Linked DNA regions of Macaca mulatta. Each later gene encodes a partner of the first gene's protein in a complex. Links are inferred from orthologs where the notes say so. Each region holds a gene or a part of one and is shown in the gene's direction. Other genes may lie near its edges.

Region 1 (6,010 bases):
ATCCTCATTCTCCCTTCCTCTTTTTGGGCTAGAAGGAAATCCTTCTCTTTGTGCCAAAAGATACAAAGATTAGGGCCAAAATAATAAGTGTAAAAAATGGTTTTTTCCCTAATTGGACAATACACAAAGAAGTCAGTCCCATAGAATGCTTCACTTTGACTACTAGTTGGTGGAAAATTTTCCTTCTCCATACAGAAAAAGGAATTGCTTCTTATCTAAGAGTAATGACCAGGAACAAGTCAATGAGGGGCTAAGCAACTTTGTGAGGTGCTGTCTCTAGTGCTGATGAACCACATGCCACTAGTAACAACCTCAGCCTTCCAAGGCCGCCTGAGCCTCTGTTCTTTTGGGCCCTGAAAATGCCAGAAGATTCCATTCTCTGATGGAAATCATTACCAAGACCTACAAAAGCCACCGTATAAAATACATGCAGCAAAACTGATAAATTCAAGTGTATGTGTTTGTGTGTGGTCTAGAACATTAATTGAATTCATGAGAAGCCTTAATTGTGAGCTGTGTTTTAGGCTGTGTGCCAGGCACTTAGGTTAAAATGGTAAACAATCAAATGTGGTCTACACCCTCAAAAGGCCTGCAGTTTACTGGGAGAGACAAACATTGACCCAGTAATTATGCAAATCACTAGAAGCCTAGATTCAAAAGAAAAGAAAAAAAATATAGAAACCTAGATTCAAAACTTAGAATCAAGATGTACAAGGAAGTGTGATTTCAGGTCTGTCTCAATTCTAATATAAACTCTCCTGCACTCTGGGCAAGTCCTTCCCTTCCTCTGGATGTTAGTATCTTCTTCTGTAAAAATGGTGTCATACCATTTGCTTCTGAGGAAATCTCGCCCATTTGTCAGAATTCAGCCAAGGCAACATCACCTTCATGGTGCTTTCCCTGGCTCTCCAGGCTGTTCCTGGGGCTTCTGCTCTGGTCTTCTTGCCACCTGGGTGTACCTGTCTCACCACATCTCATGTTACAAGTTTTCTAAGCAAGGAGTAAGCTCATCAAGACTTTTATCCCTGTATCCCCAGTGCATTGTGGTGTCTGGCTCGTGTTTGTTAAATGGATGGATGGATGGATGGATGACAAGTACAATTGTGGTGCAGGTTGTGCGAATATCATTATGAAACCTGAAGGGACAATTTGCTGGCTGATTGTCTCAGCTGAAATAATGGGACAGTATGAGCATTATTATATAGGTTTTGAAGCCTGAAGATTTCTAGTTCTGATTCTTTGTGGTGCTTTCTTGGGCGGATGGGCCTCTTTCTGCTTGTCTGTAGCTGCATTCGTAATTACACTACCTTACAGGGCTGTAGAGTTTTGAAAACTGCAAAATGTTATTTACAGTCAACTGAACTGAACTTAGCAGGAACCTTATCTCTCGGCGGAGGATGGAGATTAGAAGCAGGGGAAGACAATTCCACGGAAGGAGTGGTGGGTTGCGCTGGGCCTTTCCAGACGAGATGCAAAGGTCTGGGAGTCAGAAAACATTGGTTAGTAACCAATCTCAGTTTAAGCTCTGAACCTCAGTTCTTCTATTTCCAAAACGGAAATAATAACTTGAGCTTCGCGTAAGAGTATGACGTTCAAACGTGATAATGGATAGGACGGAAGGATTAGGAGTGGTACCCGGGGGCCACTACCTCGTGCAACGCCCCAGCCCGAAATCAAATCCGGGGCGTGGTCCCACTGTGCTACCGACCCCAGCCTGGGCAGGAAGCGCCGGCTGCGGGGGAAGCCAACCCAGAGACACAGCCGGAAGTGAGTGACTGGAGCTCCAGCAGCAGCCGCGATGGGCGCAGCCGTGAGCCTATGGAGAGCGGAGGCGTTCCCGCTTCCACCAATGGAAGGCCAACCTAGGCGGGCCTTTGCAAATTGCCCTAGTAACGGCCGCATGGTAACTCGGGCGCTGGGCGCACTGTCCTATCTGCTGGTTTTCCACGCTGGTTTTAGCTCCCGGCGTCCGCAAAATGAAAATTGAGGAGGTGAAGAGCACCACGAAAACGCAGCGCATCGCTTCCCACAGCCACGTGAAAGGGCTGGGGCTGGACGAGAGCGGCTTGGCCAAGCAGGCGGCCTCAGGGCTCGTGGGCCAGGAGAACGCGCGAGAGGTGTGGCCAGCGGACCAGGGAGTTGGGGGCTCCGAGCAGGGCTGCTGCGGCGAGAGAGCTGCTGAAGTCGGTGGCTCGGGGCGGGATGCGCGCGCCAGGGGTCTCCCGCCATAGTTGCCTCAGGGAAGTGAAAATAGGCCAGGGGCTCGGGGAGGGGCGCCGCCCTGGAGCTGGGTGAGGGGCCGCCCCAGGAAAACTAATGACCACCCACTGGGGCCAGTTGACGGTTTGCTTCAACTCATGGACAAGTACTAATGGAAACCCACACAACCCCGTCCCCTTAATCCATGCTGAGCTCTATTCGCGACACTTATTTCCCGGGATACAGCGGGAGATAAGATAGGAGGTTACATTTTAGTGTAGTGAGAGACGATAAACGTGTACATCAATAAACAAAAATGATTATCTTGGTGGGGTTAGTTACTGCAGAACTTTGTCGGCCACGGTAAGGAAATTGGATTTTATTGTGAACGCACTGGCAGGCCGTGGGACGGTTTAAAGTAGGGAATTGACTAAACTTTAAAAGCTCGTTTTGGTTCCCAGGACCCGGGAGCTGAGGGAGAGAAGTGGGAATTAGGGAGAAGAGCAATCTGGTTTATTTATCCCTCCAAGCATCCTTTTTGACCATTCCAATTAAATCTCCTTTTTCTGAGTGCTAGTGATGCCAAGTACTTTCACATACATTATTGGTTTTTGGCAGGTGAAAATATTGAGTTGGGGAGAGGGCACTTCACCATATACTTGACACTCGTTTTAGTAATGGTAAAGCGGGGATTTGCGCTCACATGTATTTCTGACTCCCAAATCAGTGCTCTATGATGACATAGCCACTCTCTCTGCCTGCTGTTGTCTGAGGTCACAGCCATGCCCCTTGGCCTTTGCAGAGCCTTAGCTTGTACAAAAATCTTCACTTAATACAAAGTTAAGCTACTGCCTCTTAGCCTGATTTTTCTAAATAGAAAGGGCTCAAAAGAAAAACCTCGGGTTTCCATTTTGAGCATCATCTTTCCAAAAAGGAAGTGTTTGACCCTGTCTTACTAAGCAGCTATTACTGCAAGTAGCTAACATTGGTTGAGTGCTTTCCATGTGCCAAGCACTGTGCTAAGTAGCTGTGTGTCCATTGCCTTGTCATATCCAACGAATTAGTTGTCCCTTCCCTGCGTTAGTATGACAGTTTTCAGACATACAAAAAAAGTTGAAAGACTTGTATAGTAAGTACCTGTGTACCTAAATTCTATGATTAACATTTTACTATGCTGCTTTATCATATATCTTTCCATGTGTGCCTCTCCCAATCCACTTTTACATTTCAAGGTGAATTGCAGGCATCACTACACTTCACCCCTACACCCTTTAACATGTGTGCCATTGACTAGTATGAACTCTGTTCAAGTGAGGAAATTCTGGTTCATAGAGGTCAAGTAAGTAGGTCCAAGGTTACTCATCTGGTAAGTGGGAGAGTATTTTAACTCAAGTCTATGTATTTAATCCCAGAGTCCATGCTCTTAACTGATGTTGTATGCTTAAGACCCACCTCAGCTACCAGGTTCTTGTGTGATTCTGGTCACATCAGTAACCTGAAAAATGAGAGTTAGACTAGGTGATCATTTAAAGACCCTTCCAATTCTTTTTAAATGTTAGAATTCAAGCTTATCTCACCTGAGAGAAGTTGGAGTGGAAACTGAGGGAGAATAGATGGAAGAGGTCCTGGTCTGTAAATAAAAGCACATATCCAAGGTTTGTAAAGTCTCTTCTACCTTGAGTTTTCCAAAGAGCTTCAGTGCTGAGGATTATATGACAAGGTTGTATGGAAAGATCATAGTAGGTTTTTTTGTTTTTGTTTTTGTTTTTGTTTGAGATGAAGTTTCGCTCTTGTTGCCCAGGCTGGAGTGCAATGGTGCGATCTCGGCTCACTGCCACCTCTGCCTCCCGGGTTCAAGTGATTCTCCTGCTTCAGCCTCGTGAGTAGCCATGATTACAGGCGCCCACCACCATGCTCGGCTAATTTTTGTATATTTAGTAGAGACAGGGTTTCACCTTGTTGACCAGGCTGGTCTTGAACTCCTGACCTCAGGTGATCCACCCGCCTCGGCCTCCAAAAGTGCTGGGATTACAGGCATGAGCCACCGCGCCTGGCTAGGCTTTTTATCTGTTTAGAAATATAGCATCTGGGCTGGGCGCAGTGGCTCACACCTGTAATCCCAGCACTTTGGGAGGCCAAGGCAAGTGGATCACCTGAGGTCAGGAGTTCGAGACCAGCCTGGCCATCATAACAAAATCCTGTCTCTACTAAAAATACAAAAATTAGCCAGGTGTGGTGGCATGTGCCTGTAGTCTGAGCTACTCGTGAGGCTGAGGCAGGAGACTCACTTGATCCTGGGAGGCGGAGGTTGCAGTGAGCTGAGATTGCGCCATTGCACTGCAGCCTGGGTGACAGTGAGACTCCATCTGAAAAAGTAGCATCTGAAGAATATCTTCTAGGTTCTATTAAGGGCAGTGTGCTTTGGTAACTGAAGTGGAAATGGGATGGATATAGCATACACACACATATTCCTTACTTTTCTTTTTTTTTTTTTTGAGAGGGAGCTTTACTCTGTCGCCCAGGCTGGAGTGCAGTGGCGCCATCTTGGCTCACTGCAAGCTCCACTTCCCAGGTTCACGCCATTCTCCTGCCTCAACCTCCCCAGTAGCAGACGGATCACAAGGTCGGGAGATTGAGACCATCCTGGCTAACACGGTGAAACCTCATCTCTACTAAAAATACAAGAAATTAGCTGGGTGTGGTGGCAGGCACCTGTAGTCCTGACATATTTTTTGAGGGGCTGCTATAAGTGTGAGACCAAGGTACTTCACTGTCCATGAGGAATAGAGGTAGAAGAGGTAAGATGTATTCACAAGACTCTGGCAGTGTGGTCACTGCCCAGAGAGAAGAGCACCTTTTAGATAGTCACATATTCAGTTATTAAATCAGTGTAGCAAACCTTATATTATGCAGTCTTGAGATATAGATGCTCAGCTAGTGTAACTTTCTCAGTGTTCCCCCCTTATAGTCAAATATTCTAAAATATATGATGGTCCGTAGCCCATTTATGGAATATGTGTATGTATATATACACACGTGTACTGCAAATGGTTAATAAAATTCAGAGATTTATAATGTATTTAAAATATACTAACAGATGATAAAGTAATTTAATCTTGAGGATTCAAAACATATTCAATGGATCTAATAGTGCCATAGGCTTAACTTCACAATCAGTATTTACAGTGTTCACTGATGACCAGCTAGTACTCTATGTCATTGATTCTTACCGCTTAGTAGGTTACTTTGGGAATTTGATGAAATCTATGGATCCTTTCCCTGGAAAAAAATGTATATGAATATAAACACAGTTTTGTTCCCAAATTCAAGAGGTATTTGGGCCCCTGGTGTCTATCCCTGTACCCTGGGCCAGAAATCAGTGTTCTACTTGTACTCATACTGTGCATTCTTCATACAGTAGCCAGCACCATGTTTTAAAAACAAATTATAACATGACATGTAGTCTTCAAGACCTTTTCAGTGGCTTCCTATTATTTATGTAGAGTAAAATCCAAACTCTACCACAGACTATACGTTCCTGCTCTGCATTCTGGCCGCTGCCTACCTCTTCAACCTCATCTTCGTGGTCTTTTTCACCATGCTTTGGTCACTGCAACCTTTCTATCCCTTGGATACGCCAAGCTCGTTTCTGCTTTGGATTTTCTGAATTTGCTGTTTTCTTTGCCTGTAACACTGACTCCTGCTTCTCCCAGAGGTTCACATATCAAATTAAATGTCATCAGAAAGACATTTCAGGATCACTTTCTAGCCACTGATTCTCTCTCATCATCCCTTTTTCTTCATAGTGGTA
Region 2 (6,106 bases), on another chromosome or scaffold:
CTCCGCACAAAAATTTGACAGCAAAGACTGTTATCCCATTCTGGTTATAACAATGAAAATATCTGGACACATTCAAATATCCAGTGACAGAGGAGTGGCTCAAAAATCTGAGGCCATCCAAAGAATGGAATGCTATGCAGCCATGTCAACAATTATCCTGTGGTCTGGAAAGAAAGCAAATGTGATCAAATATTAATGAGTGAATCCAGGCTGAGTGCAGTGGCTCACGCCTGCAATCCCAGCACCCTGGGAGAACAAGTTGGGTGAACTGAGTGAGCTCAGGAGTTCGAGACAGCCTGGGCAACATGGTGAAACGCTATTTCTACAAAAAATTAGCTGGGCATGGTGGCTCATGCCTGTAGTCCCAGCTATTCAGGAGGCTTAGGCGGGAGGATCGCTTGAGCCCGGTGGCGGAGGTTGCAGTGAGCCAAGATCACACCACTGCACTCTAGACTAGGCAAGAGAGCAAGATCCTGCCTCTAAACAAATTTTAAAAATTCAAAATAAAACAATTGGCTAACCTAAGTGCAGGGTATATGAGTGTTCACTGTCAACTTTTCTGTAGGTCTGAAATGTAAAAACAAAGTTGGAAATATATTTTTAAGTAAAAAATGCTCTTTTGTGAAATGTAAGTTAATAAACTTACATAGACTCATCTCCAGCCCATCAGAACTGTGTTCTCTGTTAAATAAATGTAAGTGTCTTCTTTTCTCTCTTTTCACAGGAAAGTGGTAGGTATAGATTAACTAGATAATATTTGTCTACCTAGTATCTATTCCAATCACACTCAATGTAATTTAAACTATATGTAACATGAGATTTACAGACAAAAAAAATTAGTCTCAATGTTTTCATTTTACAATTATCTCGTTCTAAGGGCAAAGGAAAGCTTAACTTTGCCAAGTGTGCTAACTCATGCCTATAATCCTGGCATTTTGGGAGGCCGAGGCAGGCAAATCACTCAAGCCTAGGAGTTTGAGACCAGCCTGGGCAACATAGACTTTGTCTCTACAAAATTTTTTTTTTAAATTAGATGGGCATCGGTATGCCGGTAGTCCCAGCTACTCGGGAGGCTGAGGCGGGAGGATCACTTGAGCCTGGGAGGTTGAGGCTGCAGTGAGTCATGGTCATACTACTGCACTCCAGCCTAGGGGACAAAGACTCTGTCAAAAAAAAAAAGAAGAAGAAAGAAAAGGAAGGAAGGAAGGAAGGAAGGAAGGAAGGAAGGAAGGAAGGAAGGAAGGAAGGAGAAAGAAGAAAGAAAGAAAGAAAGAGAGAGAGAGAGAGAGAAAGAAAGAAAGAAAGAAAGAAAGAAAGAAAGAAAGAAAGAGAAAGAAAGAAAGAGAAAGAAAGAAAGAAAGAAAGAAAGAAAGAAAGAAAGAAAGAAAGAAAGAAAGAAAAGAAAAGAAAAGAAAAGAAAAGAAAGAGAAGGAAGGAAGGAAGGAAGGAAGGAAGGAAGGAAGGAAGGAAAGGCAGGCTTAACTTGCTTGGGTTTTCAGCATTTGAAAAAAAAACTTGCTTTTACATATGAAACACAAATTATCTGGGAAGACTTCCTTGGTAGGGGTGGGTGCTCTAAGCTCTATAGATGGAAATAGCATTTGGAGATTCATCCCATGGTCTGGATTCTTCTCCAGGCAAAGGCCCATTCTTGCTGGGTTATAAGTTCTTGTTTGAAAATCTAACCTGAATTTAAGGCATTTCAGTGATAGACTGGATTAAGAAAATGTGGCACATATACACCATGGAATACTATGCAGCCATAAAAAAGGATGAGTTCGTGTCCTTTGTAGGGACATGGATGCAGCTGGAAACCATCATTTTCAGCAAACTATCACAAGAACAGAAAACCAAACACTGCATGTTCTCACTCATAGGTGGGAACCGAACAATGAGATCACTTGGACACAGGAAGGGTAACATCACACATCGGGGCCTATTGTGGGGAGGGGGGAGGGGGGAGGGATATCATTAGGAGATATACCTAATGAGTTAATGGGTGCAGCACACCAACATGGCACATGTATACATATGTAACAAACCTGCACGTTGTGTGCATGTACCCTGGAACTTAAAGTATAATTTTTTTAAAAAAAATCTAAACTGAAAAACAAATTCACTCAGTCACTCTAGTGCATAAGAATAAATTCACAAAAACCTTACCATTTAAATAAAAACATGGGAACTATGCCTAACTACAAGATGGCCAATATTCTGCAGAGGACTTCAGCCACCCTCTCCATTTGACTATCAAACGAGGTGATTAGATATAGTGCGTTGTCAATTTCCGCTTGAGCCTCAGTTATAGGTTGCAGGTACAGAGCTGGAGTTATCAAAGATGAATTTTAGAAAATCTGTCTCTGTTTAAAACCTTTTAAGTGCTCATACTCAGTCCCATTGCCAGGAGTGAAACCCAAACCTCCCGTATGACAAATCAATATCCAAGCCGACAGATCACACGGGATCTTCCTTATAGACCAGAACCATAGTCAATTCTTAGGTCCTTTTAAATATTAAACTCTTCACTTCCTCTCTCTACCTCTACCTGTGCGTCGCGCCTAACTTAGAACCGCCAAATCCCATTAAATCCCACCCTCACCAGCGACGCACGGTCTCCATAGGCTCCACGCGCCGCTTTTGCAGTCCCCCATTGGCCGGTTTATTGCCAGATGGCCTGCTCCCACGCCCTAGTCATCTTTGATCTCCTCGGATTCCGTGAAGCCCCGCCCTTCTCTTCTCCCCTTTGGCCCGTCTTCCCCAGCTGGCTATTTGGTTGGCCAGCGCGCTTGCCACTTACGTCATTCACCCGCGCCACCCGGAAGCCGCGGTTCCTACCAACCGTTTTTATTGCTGGCGGCCCTGAGGTAAAGGCCGCGCTTGGGTGTCCCTGGGTGGCCGGGTCCCCGAGTTGGGAGGGGCGGAAGGCTGAGCCCCCAGCTTGAGCCGGACAAGTCGATTCCCAGCGTTGAGAGGGTAGAGATGAACTGTGTGTGAGGCCAAACTGGAGCGGTCAACGTGGTCTTCCCCCTCCCCACTCCCCAGGAGCCCATCATGGCGACGCCCCCTAAGCGGCGGGCGGTGGAGGCCACGGGGGAGAAAGTACTGCGCTACGAGACCTTCATCAGTGACGTGCTGCAGCGGGACTTGCGGTGAGTGACAGTGCAGAGGGCGGGGCGTCTGGAACATTCCACGTGGTGGGTGGGGCGTTCAGAGTTAGGGCCAACCCTTTGGATTGGTGGGCGAGGCGTTCAGAGTCCGGCCCCGCGCTCCTTGGAGCGTGAAGTGGTGATGATATCCGGGGTGCAGTTTGGCTGGGACGTGGCGTTCATAGCAGGGGGCGTGTCAGCGCATGCGCGGCCTCCGATGTTTGACGGATTAGGGCTTGTTTTCTGGAGCCACAGTTCTCAGGTTCGAATCCTGGCTCGGCCATTCTTCATCCTTGTGAATACGTCATACCTCGCCTTTCTGTGCCCTATAAACTTCTCTGTGAAATGGGGAGTTTTCTGGAACCTTCCCCATGCAGTGGTTTTGAGTTTTTCATATGTCCCATCTTTGTAAATAATTTAGTAGCATGGATGCCTGAAACATAGTAGAGGTTCAATAAGTATGAAGAAATATTATTGCAATTTTTGTTAATCTAAGCAAGAAGTAAGGTGTTCAGAACTAGGACTATGAGCATCCTAAAAGGGATGGAGGATTTTTCTAGGGTGAGGATGGGACATTATGATTGGAGTTCAGTATTGGGAGTGTAGTAATAGTAATAATAGCTAACATGTAGAGAGTTTACCATTTGGTAGGCATTATTCTAGATGCTTTGAGTAAATGCTCATTTAATCCTAATGACTCTACAAGGTAATACTGTCATCTGCATTTTATAAATGGGGAAACCAAGTCCCAAACAGGTTCCTTACTTGCCAAAGCCACACATCTATAAAGGACAGAGCCCAGATCCAAACCCAGGCAGTCTGACCCAGAGCCCAAAATTAACTTGTACACTAAAAAGCCTTTTCAGCGTATGGTGACGTGAGAGTCTCAGAGGGTCATGATATGAGGTATACTAGGAGGAATGGGGCTGCCTATTGGTCACCATTGTACTTTCATCCCATCAGAAAGGTGCTGGACCATCGAGACAAGGTATATGAGCAGCTGGCCAAATACCTTCAACTGAGAAATGTCATTGAGCGACTCCAGGTAAAGACTATGGGGTTGGGTATCATTTTTTTGGTGTGTGTGGGTAAGGGAGGGAAATGGGAAGAGAGACTCCAGAGCCAAACCTGTCACCTGACCTAAGAGTTCACCACTGACCCCTACCTCTTTTTCCCTGGCCCCACAGGAAGCTAAGCACTCGGAGTTATATATGCAGGTGGATTTGGGCTGTAACTTCTTCGTTGACACAGTGGTGTGAGTGTCTACCCGCCCCTCTGAGCCCACAGGGTTCAGCTTACCCCTTCCCTCATGCAACATATATTTTTTTGAGTATCTTCTATGTACCAGGCACTATACGAGGTTTATTATCCCAGTAGGATATAAGCTAGGCGCTGGGGATGTGACAGTGAATAAAATAGGACAAAATCCCTGCCTTCCCAGAGCCTCAATTTGGGGAAGGGTGGGGAGCAAAACATACACTCTGCTAAACAGTGATAAGGACTTCCCCCGCACTTCCTCTAACCTCTCTTTCCTCAGCCCAGATACTTCACGCATCTATGTGGCCCTGGGATATGGTTTTTTCCTGGAGTTGACACTGGCAGAAGCTCTCAAGTTCATTGATCGTAAGAGCTCTCTCCTCACAGAGTAAGTCCATTCCATGAGGATAGTGTGTAAAAATACCACCATTTCCAACACTCTTCTCACTTTCCCCATGGCTGCCTAGAATGATACTTAAGGACTCATCTCCCCTCCTCCTCAGAGCTGGGGCTGAAGAAATGTGGTTGCAAAGCCCATGTATAGCACATAATAAGCATTCAAAAAATGATCTTTGTATCGTTCATTCATGCAGACATTTATTGGGAATCTTCTGTATGCCAGGCACTGTGCTTAGCAGTGGGAATGCAGCAGTGAACAAGACAGAAGAGTTCCTTGAAGGCTTAAAATCTAGAAGGACTATACTGTTATACATAAATACAATTATGACCAGATCCATGAGGTCTCAGCCTGTTAGAGTTGGTAACAAGAAAACTAGTTACCTGTGATTTCACTTCCTGCTAATTTTACTATTCATTCACTGTGTTCCTGCCACACTGACCTTCACATGCTTCTTTCAGCACCCCAAGAATGATCCCACCCCAGGGCAATTGCCGTAGCTGTTCTCTCTGCCTGCACTGCCCTTTTCCCCAGTACCCACATGGCTTCCTTTCTCCTCACTCATCTCGCTTAAATGTCGCTTCCTCGATGAGGCCCTCTGTAACCTAACTTTAAAATCACAGCCCCTGGCATGCTTGATTCCCCTCCGTCTACTTTTTTTCCCTAACACTTATCACCCCCTAATATTTACTGTGTAATTTCTTGCTTTCTCATATTGTCTCCTCCAATTAGAATGTAAGTTTTACAAAGGGGGAGCTTTGGTTTATATCCCGGGTGACTAGAGTAGTACAAACATAGAGTAAACACTCTGTTTTTGTTTTTAAGAGATGGTGTATCCCTGTGTTGCCCAGGCTGGAATGCAGTGACTGTTTACAGCTGCGATCATAGCATACTACGTCCTCAAACTCCTGGGCTCAAGCAGTCCCCTTGCTTCAGCCTGCCAAGTAACTGGGACTATAGGCGCACTGCTGTGCCTGGCTTTGTGTTTGTTGAAATAATTTGAAAGGGTATGCTGGAAGCAAATTAAAGTGGTTATTGAAGCAGATATGTGTTGGTGGTGATGGGGAGAGAAAGTGTGGGCTCCAGTTGAGTTTAAGGCAGGAGTGTCCAATCTTTTGGCTTCCGTGGGCTACATTGGGAGAAGATTTGTCTTGGGCCACACATAAAATACACTAATGCTAATGATAGCTGATGAACTAAAAAAAAAAAAAAAAAAAAAAAAAAGTTGCAAAAAAAATCACATAGTGTTTTAAGAAAGTTTATGAATTTGTGTTGGGCTGCATTCAAAGCCGTCCTGGACCGCATG

Evidence for each region. The genes of interacting proteins can lie anywhere in the genome.
Region 2: RUVBL1 (region 1) and UXT share a complex: the UniProt entries of both Homo sapiens proteins name them as parts of the PAQosome complex. The link is inferred for Macaca mulatta from reciprocal best matches to the Homo sapiens genes RUVBL1 and UXT.

Annotation. Positions count from the first base shown.
Region 1 is NC_133407.1:155,848,860-155,854,869, forward strand, and holds the start of RUVBL1 (ruvB-like 1), read left to right. Parts: upstream 1-1,897; 5' UTR 1,898-1,976; coding exon 1,977-2,117; exon of another isoform or gene 2,118-3,213; intron 3,214-4,537; exon of another isoform or gene 4,538-4,710; intron 4,711-6,010. UniProt on the Homo sapiens protein: Possesses single-stranded DNA-stimulated ATPase and ATP-dependent DNA helicase (3' to 5') activity; hexamerization is thought to be critical for ATP hydrolysis and adjacent subunits in the ring-like structure contribute to the ATPase activity.
Region 2 is NC_133426.1:47,679,806-47,685,911, reverse strand, and holds the start of UXT (protein UXT), read left to right. Parts: upstream 1-2,795; 5' UTR 2,796-2,839; coding exon of another isoform or gene 2,840-3,051; coding exon 3,052-3,149; exon of another isoform or gene 3,150-3,161; intron 3,162-3,195; exon of another isoform or gene 3,196-3,579; intron 3,580-4,109; coding exon 4,110-4,191; intron 4,192-4,333; coding exon 4,334-4,401; intron 4,402-4,683; coding exon 4,684-4,791; intron 4,792-4,996; exon of another isoform or gene 4,997-5,163; intron 5,164-5,625; exon of another isoform or gene 5,626-5,843; intron 5,844-6,106. Other genes in the region: uncharacterized protein LOC144338585, read right to left, coding at 2,840-3,053. UniProt on the Homo sapiens protein: Involved in gene transcription regulation. Acts in concert with the corepressor URI1 to regulate androgen receptor AR-mediated transcription. Together with URI1, associates with chromatin to the NKX3-1 promoter region.